2 linked regions of the Ovis aries genome follow. The protein of the gene in region 2 purifies or fractionates together with the protein of the main gene of each other region. This does not show direct contact. Links are inferred from orthologs where the notes say so. Each region holds a gene or a part of one and is shown on either strand. Other genes may lie near its edges. The genes, in order: SH2D1A and SLAMF6.

The links.
Region 1: the proteins of SLAMF6 (region 2) and SH2D1A purify together in Homo sapiens (co-immunoprecipitation; 5 studies listed by BioGRID and IntAct, with this or other methods). This does not show direct contact. The link is inferred for Ovis aries from reciprocal best matches to the Homo sapiens genes SLAMF6 and SH2D1A.

The regions. Positions count from the first base shown.
Region 1 is NC_056080.1:108,291,029-108,295,573, reverse strand, and holds the start of SH2D1A (SH2 domain-containing protein 1A), read right to left. Parts: upstream 3,075-4,545; 5' UTR 2,900-3,074; coding exon 2,763-2,899; intron 1-2,762.
Region 2 is NC_056054.1:111,557,211-111,561,728, forward strand, and holds the start of SLAMF6 (SLAM family member 6), read right to left. Parts: upstream 3,058-4,518; 5' UTR 3,045-3,057; coding exon 2,939-3,044; intron 1-2,938. UniProt on the Homo sapiens protein: Self-ligand receptor of the signaling lymphocytic activation molecule (SLAM) family.

The sequences.
Region 1 (4,545 bases), on a different chromosome or scaffold from region 2:
TGCAATGCGTTATTTCTGCAATAAAAATACAGAAACTAAAGCTCAACCAAACCTTCTTGGACAATGAAAATAAACAAAAGACAGAATGAGAAACTATTTTGAGTGAACACTACAGTCAATGCATGTTTGTTAGCTGTACTTTGTTGTTCATTTATATATGTCACCGTCAACATTGTTATTTCTTCTGTATATCATAACTATACGTGTTTTGGTTTAAAAATGAGTATATGGTTTATTTCAAAATAAAATTTGATTTTGTTACTACAGTGTAGTACTAAAAAAGAGGAAATGAAATGTTTACGTTTATCAGAAGGGATCCTTGGCTCAAAAAAAAGCTGAGAAACTGTCATAAAAGGCACTGTATCATTGTGTCTTCCCTCTGCAGCAGTCTGGCCATTAGCCTCTAGGACTTGGAGGCCCAGTGTGCCCACTGAAAGATATGTTAGGGGGACTCCCAATTTGCCGACTATTTTCTGCTACTTCATAAAAAGGTTTGCATGGAGAACCTACAGTCATAAAAACTGCATTTAGGCAAGATTCACTTTGGACAAAAACTTAATCTGCGAATTTCCCATCTGTCTAAGTTAATTCCTTACGTGGCCCTGGCCAATTTGAGTAATAGGCTAAGATTATCCTTCTCTCTTGCATCTTTTACCAACTATAATCTTCTGCAGAAGATAGAGCACACATTATTATTCTTGTTTTAGAAATATGGAAACCAAGACCTACAAAAGTTGAGTGATGTCCCAGAGGCCACATCCTGGCCTCCTGATATCAGCCCAAAAGCCTACTGCCATAAAGAATTTGCCTTGACAGTTCATTCATTAATTCAGAAACATTTATTGAGTGCCTGTTGCATGCCTCATGATACCTGTTGCATGCCAGGCTGTGTTCCTGGTGCGGGAGATGGTGTCTCTGCCCCAGAGAGATTACATTGTAGCAGGAGAGCCCAGCAAGACAAAAGTAGACAAGCAAACGTCAGACAGCTGAAAGCTCCCAGAAGAAAACTAAAGTGACAGATTATAACTGGGACAGGGAGAAGGGACTTATTTTAGAGGCTAGTCAAGGAAGTCCTCTCTGAGAGAAGAGGGAGAAGGAACAGTTAAGTGTGAAGATCCTAAGCAAGGAGCAGCTTGGCAAGCTCGAGAAACAACAAAGAGGCCAGTGCGTCTGAAGTCTTAGGAACATCCTGCCACACACTGTCCCCGGCTCTTCCTTCCCTTCCCAGGCCTTTTGTACCTTAATTTTTACCTCTAGGTTGAGGGTCCCATTACCTCCTTTGGTGAGCTTTCCTAAAGAAGCTCCTCTCACCAGTTCACTCACTCCTCCACCTTCTATTGATAAGAAAAGAGCCTAGGAATACGAGTTGGCTTTCACTGACCTACCCCAGTTTTCACTTTCGAGAAACAATAATATAAGGAAAACCTAAAATCTGAGCCCAAGGGATTCACTAGCTTGCACATATATCCCTTGTAGCTTTTATAACAAACGTTTTTAGCATGGCCTGAGAGTTGCCACAAATATGCCTTGCCCATTTAAAAATAATACAATAAACAATGAAAATCCTCTAACACCAGGCTCAATACAATCTCTCATCAATGACCTAAAGGAACTTCAAAATCTTGCCATGTATCATCAGACACCAAAATTACAACCAAGCATTTTCCCTCATTTTGTTTCTGTCTAGAAGCTACTGTACAGGGCTGCTGCTTTCATGAGTGTTTTTACCCTGCTAACAAAGAGTGATTGAGCTAGGGACTTCCTTAGAAACACCCCGTGAGTACTTAAAGATATTGACTGAAATATATATACATTTTATATATATATATAATATATTATAATAAAAAGTACTGAAAGAGAGTGAAAAAATAATAACAACAACAGCTTACTTTTACTGAACACTTAGTATGCATCAGGTCCAGTGCTAAATTTTCTACGTGCATTACAGCATTTAATGCTCAGTCCTATGAGGTAGGTAGTAATATTACACTTTTTGGACAAGAAAACTGAGGGACTGTGAGGTTAACTTGCCAAAGCCAGCATCAGACTAGCACAAGATTAGGTCTTAGCTCTGCCTGACCCTGGAGCCCTGGAGCAAAGATGAAGGTGCATCTGATTCAAAATGGGGCTTTAGACCAAGAGATGCTTAGGTAAAGGGCAAAGCTGAATCATACCAGGGTGCTTTCCCTCCATGTCCTTTACGACTATTGTCTCTCCCAGCGTTTATCACGGAAAGGCCCTATTTCTGAAACCCCACCCCACCCCCCTCCAACTCCTGTAAAGAAAGCTAATTAAGCAAATCCAGAGAGGTGGTTTTATTCAGAAACGTCCCTCTCTCCCACATCCTGACCTAACTGGTATTGCTGTCTTAAAGGATTCCATTTCTTAGTCTTCTTCCTCTCCTTGAATTTGAAATCTTCCTTTGGGAAGATACCTTCAAAGCCATTGCCAGAGGGCTGGAGAGAAAGGCCTCTCCTCTGAGGAGCTGGTGGCCCTATATCTGGCCATTCCCTCATCCCAGGCCTCCACCTTGCTGGCCTCTACCAGAGGTCCAACCTGAAGCCAGGAGCCTGAGTCCTTTTGGCAGCAAAGGTAAATTCTAGGCTCCTTTTCCTCCACTGCAAAGAGCATTCCTACAGCCGCCCCCAAAGGCGCTGGAGAAGACCCTCTGAAGAGCAGGAAGCCCAGGCGAGACAACCCCAGTGAGGGACGTGAGCCGCACGGTGGGCAGTGGGGGCTCCAGGGCCCCGTCATGTACTCACAGCACACACAGACAGTACACGCCGGGAACACTCTCGCTGTCCCTCAGCAGATAGCTGCCATCCAGGCCCGTGGCGAGCAGGAGCTTCTCCCCCGTCTCCCGGCTGATCTTGCCATGATACACAGCCACCGCGTCCATGGCCAGGGGACAGTAGCAGGGAAAGGCCGCTGTTGCTGCTGCCGCCGCAACCAGGCACGACTCAGCCACCTGCCTCCCTGTTCAGCCAGATGTTCAAAAAAGAGAAAGGAGCGCCCCAACAACAGGATGTTGTCTACCTGCCTCACAGCCTCCTTCTCGCACTTCAGTGAAAACCAGGTCAGCAGTTTAGCAGCTTGGCTACTGCCCTAGGGTTCAATTCCCCCCTCCCCTCTCTGCTCCGCCTCTGCCACAAAAGGGTTGGGGTGGATGGATGGACAGAGAGGGGAGGACTATTGGAAGAAGGTCCTTGCAGGATGTGGCCTGTGCTCCCAATGCATGCAGACACGAATGCCTGGTAATGTTTCTGTCCTTGTAGTTTTCCCAGGAAGGCCACCCTGACTTAGCTTAAATAGTCCCCAAAGGGGTTAATGAGACAGGGAAGCCGTGTTGATCTTCATGTGGGGCAGAAACATACTGACAGAGAATGAAAGGCCCAAAAGCTCTGAGACCAAAACACAGAGGTCATCAGTATTGTCAGTGGGTGATCCCCACTGAGCACAGGCAGGAGGCTCCTAGGGAATCAGAGGCAAGAAGTGAACAGCGGACTTGGGATCCACTGCCTCCCCTCCCCAAACCCTCCCCCTTCTCTTTGACTCCTCCTAGTCATCTCCAGCAATCTTGATCCTGAACAAATCAAACATTTCCAGGCTTCTTGTCCAAGATCCCAAAGTGCTGGTTGAGGTACAAAAATCAGTCTGTGTCCAAAGATGTTCCAGATGTATCTATTTGATGGGCCTTAGATGAGAGAATAAATCATTTCATTGGTGTTTTGCCTTCATGCGGACTTGTCTGTGCCTTTTGACATACAGGGCCTACCTTTTAGCATTTGGGACATCAAACTTAAGTCCATTGTGAGTGTTGATAATTGCGTTGTATCTTTTATCATCTGTAGTTAGTAGAGAATATGGTTTTTGTTCAATTGATGCTAAGCTATCAAATTTTTTAGAACCTTTCAACCTTTGTTTCCTTCTCTCTTGTATTTCAAGATGTGCTGTTAAGTAATATTTCCCCCAAACTTCCTCATTTTTCACTAGAACGAGACCTTGTTTAATGTTTGAAGCTGAATGCTCTTCTACATTTTTTCTTTTGAGTGTGTAACATACTTTTCTTTTTCTTTTTAGATTGTTTTTGATGTAGACCATTTTTAGTCTTTATGGAAGTTTTTATAATATTGCTTCTGTTTTATGCTTTGGTTTTTTGGCTGCAAGGCATCTGGGATCTTAGCTTCCCATGCATGTATGCTAAGTCGCTTCAGTTGTGTCCAATTCTTTGCAACCCTGTGGACTGTAGCCCACCAGGCTCCTCTGTCCATGGGATTCTCCAGGCAAGAACAGCGGAGGAGATTGCCATGCCCTCCTCCAGGGGGTCTTCATCAAACCCACACCCCCTACATCAGAAGGTGAAATCTTATACCACTGGACCACCAGGGAAGTCCCTGTAAAATACTTTTTAAAATTAAAATTTAAGTAGCTGAAATTATGTTGTCTGTTGTGTCTCTTCAACAATGTCACACCTAGTTCCTTGAGAGCCTGGCCCATCTGGGACCCCAATAGGGAGAACAATTTTTAAATCCTCACTAGTCCTAC
Region 2 (4,518 bases):
CTACAGTCCATGGGGGTAGCAAAGAGACAGACTGAGTGACTTCACTTTCACTTTCACTTTCACGACCTTCCCTGAGTTCCTAAGGGCAGATTATAACAGTTGCTAATCTGGGAAGGGAAGGGATGCAGACACAAGGGAGGAGCAGTTAAAAACAATGGTGCAGCCTTGGGCAGGGTCCTGGTTCTGCCTTAACGGATGCATAATATTTTTGAGCTCTTTATACTAATAGAACTAACACTCCCAACAAATGGAAAATGCCAGCATTCTTCATTCCAGATTAAAGGAACTAGAGAAGCTCTTCAAGAGGGCAATGGCAACCCACTCCAGTACTCTTGCCTGGAAAATCCCAAGGACGGAGGAGCCTGGTAGGCTGGAGTCCATGGGGTCCCTAAGAGTCAGACATGACTGAGCCACTTCACTTTCACTTTTCCTTTCATGCATTGGAGAGGGAAATGGCAACCCACTCCAGTGTTCTTGCCTGGAGAACCCCAGGGACAGGGGAGCCTGGTGGGCTGCTGTCTATGGGGTCGCACAGAGTCGGACACGACTGAAACAATTTAGCAGCAGCAGAGAAGCTCTTCTAGAAGACCACCTCAGGCCAGATTAAAGGAACCACAGAAACTCATCAGATTATCTGAGACCAGATTAAAATAGTACAGGCCCTGCACACACCCTAACCTTATTAGCAATCCTACCCTTGCTATAAAACTCCTCACCAAATCCTCCCAGGTTGGGACACATGCTTTTTGAGAGCAGAAGCCTGCTGTATCTCCCTTTTCCTGGCAAACCAGTAAAACTATCCTTTTCTACTTCACCCAGAACTCTGTGTCTGAGACTTGATTCGGCACCAATGCACAGAGGCCGAGTTTTCAGCATCAGTACCCTGCTTATTATCTTCTTAGTATCACAGTTTATAATTACAAATACATTTATGTGAATATATAGCTGTTTGTAAACTATGCAGCATAGCAAAATGGTTATGAATAGACTCTGGAGCCAGTCTCCCTAAATTATAACCTTGCAAATTACTGCTTTCTTCCTGGACCTCAGAACACCTGCACACACATTCGAGTATGTTTCATTTCCTATACCATTCACTTCCCCCACAGCAGTGTGACAGTAAACAAGTTACTCAAGCATTGTACGCCTTCATTCTTCTTCCTTAAAGTGGCGATAGGAATAGTGTATATTTCATAGGGCCCCTTATGAGAAATATTAATGGGAATGTGGAGAAAAATGGGAATTTTAACCTGAGGACATTCAGAATATTGAATTCTAGAGATGAGCTCAATTTTGCAATGAGGCAAAGACAGGGATCTCTTGTCTTTTCCTCCGTGGCTCCTGGGCCAGGGAGTAGCTCTTGAATGTAAACTTTTTTTCTCTTTCTGCTCTTGTACATATCCCCCAAGTTTCTGTCCTCCTTACAATTTTCTCCTTAGCTTTATTTATTATTTCTATGCTGTGAGTTCCAAGCCTCCAGCCTCAGCTCTACCTCTAGTCCTAAATTTCCAGCTGTTTTCAGGAAATCTCATGAATATCACACTGACATCTTAAAATTAGTAGGTCCAAAATTGAAATCCTCTTCTCATCACAGCTGCTCCCTCCTCCCCCTCCCAACTTTGTAAACTTTTTGGCTATTCTGTCTGAAATTTCACTGTCCCAATATTTAATCTCTCCTTTCCTTGCTTGATTTATTTCCTCCTTATCATTTATCACTATCCAATATACTTATTTGTTTCACTTATTTATTTTGTTTTTAGTTTGCTTCCTCTGCTAAAATGTTAACCCCGTGAGGGCTGAAATTTTTTTCTGCTTCATTCATGGTGTACACTCAGAAACTAGAATAGTGCCGGGCATCCAGTAGGTGCTCAATGATTGTTTATTGGATGACAATGAACTCTCTCCCCACTTCATTCCCATTGCCAGGTAATCTAGCTAATTCTACGTCTGTGGTGATTCTTGCTTCTGTCCTCTCTCTTGTGCTGCTACCATTTTGATTCAGTGGTCACTGTTCCTCAAAACTATCACAAGAGCTTGCCACCTACTGGCTAATGAAATCTGTGAGAGTTATTTCAAAAGGGGATAATAATAGTACAGACTCCTAGAAGTGTCAGAAAGCTTATGTATATGATGTAAGTGTAGCATTTGACCCAGTGCCTGGAACAATACAAGCCCACAATGGATATTAACTATTTTTACCTGCTACCCTGGGCTAGTTCTGGGATAGCTTTCTTGTCTTGTCTCCTACCCCTTCCTGTACTTTGGCCCCACTGGACCACTCGTGTTTCCCCAAAACCTGACATGAACCTTCAAGTTTTCCACATAATGGATAGCAGGGAGTGAGAAGCATGTAGGATCTGAGAATTCCTGTCTGGCAGAGTAAGTATTGCTGGACTAGCTAGTCCCTGATTTGCATCAAAGGAAAGGAAAGCTGGAGAGTAGTTTTTTCACAGTACGCAAAAACCATGAACACTATTTTGAGTGTTTTAGTTGGGTTCAGAAATTTCAGCTAAGCAGAACCATAGATTTTCAATATTTTCGATGAGGCTAAGAAAGAACATGTAGCCTACTTGTGATCACGCAGTAAGATAGTAGCTACTCTGGTGAGAAGGCTTCTTTTCTTAACCTTAGCTATCTTTATATCACAACATGCTGGCTATAAACCCCAGTCGTGTCTTAGAAAAGCTCATTTCCCATGCCCCAGCGTATAATTCATTTAAATACAGACACAGTTGAAGCTGTTAACTCTAAATGATCTCAGGTGGTAAGCTTTTAAGTTGAGAGGCAATGGCAGTTTATCAGGCACCTCTGTGAGCCCCACCGGATCCCTTAGTAGAGATACAGACAGACACCTAAATGTAGGTGATTTAGATCGCGCAAACTGCACAAAACCAGGAGTCAAACATGAATGACTACATGGGTATACTTCAGCATTTACCTGGGCCAAGGCGGGAGACAAGCAGGAGAGACAGGAACAGCCAGATCATGCTCTTAGCAGTGGAGAATGGTGTTGGAGACGTCAAGATAGTCAGCGTTCTTGCCATTCACTCATAAACTGAAAGTGCTTCTGATCAACGCTGCCTGTTTCCTCTCAGAGGCGTGGCAAGACCTTCTTCCCCCTCACTAAAAGTCCCAATTTTATTTTGTAAATTTGTTTATTTTTTTTCTGAGCTAAGTGCAAAAATCATGTGTGATGTGAACTGGAATCTTCACTACTGTAAAATTTAAAAATAATTACAACTTAAAAGTTGAGAGTTATGTTTTATTTGGCAGAAATTTTTAGGACTTCAGACCTGGGAGACAGCATCTCAAGTAACCCTGAGAGAAGTGTTCCGAGAAGGTGGTGGGGAGGAGTTAGGCTATATAGAAATTTGCAACAAGGGGCAGGTAGTCCGAACATCAAAGATTATTGTTACTTAATGAAATATCTCAAGTTAATGAATTTAGCACTTTTCTATGTATGGAAGATGCAAGAGTCTGGGCTTACTGAAATCATTCTGTTCATATGCATCTCAGCTACCTGGGGCCAGCATCCTGCATTTTTTTACATCCTTGGTTCCTTGAAGTGAGTGGAGGCAGCGTGATAGCTGTTGGACCACAGGTAGTCTTCTCTTTCATGGTTGCACTGGAGGATTGGAATCACTGATGACTGTGACATTCTTGTTTACTGCTATGGCAGGAAATACTCCATTTCTTACTATCTATATCCTTTCTTCTTTTATTTTGATTCTTTTTTTTTTTAATTGTGGTAAAACAAATGTCAACTACAAATTGGCACTTGCCATGGGCACTTGCTGTCTTCCTTTACAATGGTTAAATCATGTGTTGCTGCAGCTGCTGATCTTCAACAGCTCCTTAAAGGAGTTCAGGGTAGAGAATACAATGAGGCACCCTGTGCTCTGGGAAAAACTGGCAGGACAGGTCTTCAAATAGTTAGGTTGCAAGAAAGGAGACACCTTCCAGGGCTTGAAAGTGGGTTCTTGTCTAACACTCAGAAATGAGTGTTGTCAGAGGAGACACTTGTGCTGACAAAGAAGGAGTCTTTATTGGGAAGGGGTGCCCAGGCAGAGAGCAGGAGGGGAAGGGGACCTGAGAGGACTGCTCCACCATGTGGCTCGCAGTCTTGGGTTTTATGGTGATGGGGTGAGTTTCTGGGTTGTTTCTAGCCAATCATTCTGATTCAGGGTCCATCCTGGTGGCACACATATTACTCAGCCAAGAAGGAAGTCAGTGAGAAGGATTCTGGGAAGGCGGTAGGACACATGGCATCTCCTTTGACCTTTGCCAAACTCTTTTGGTTGGTGGTGGCTTACTAGTTCTGTATTCCTTTCCAAGACCTCCTGTTGTAAAATAACTCAAGCAAATGGTTCTTATGGTGCCGGGCCAGGGTAGGTGGTTTCAGTCAGTGTGTTTAGTCTAACAGATATTTTCAGGAGTCAATTTTATGAGCCCAATTCTTGTATCTCCTTATATCTAGAAAAACACTAAAATCCTTCCTGGTGACAACTGTTCCTTGAT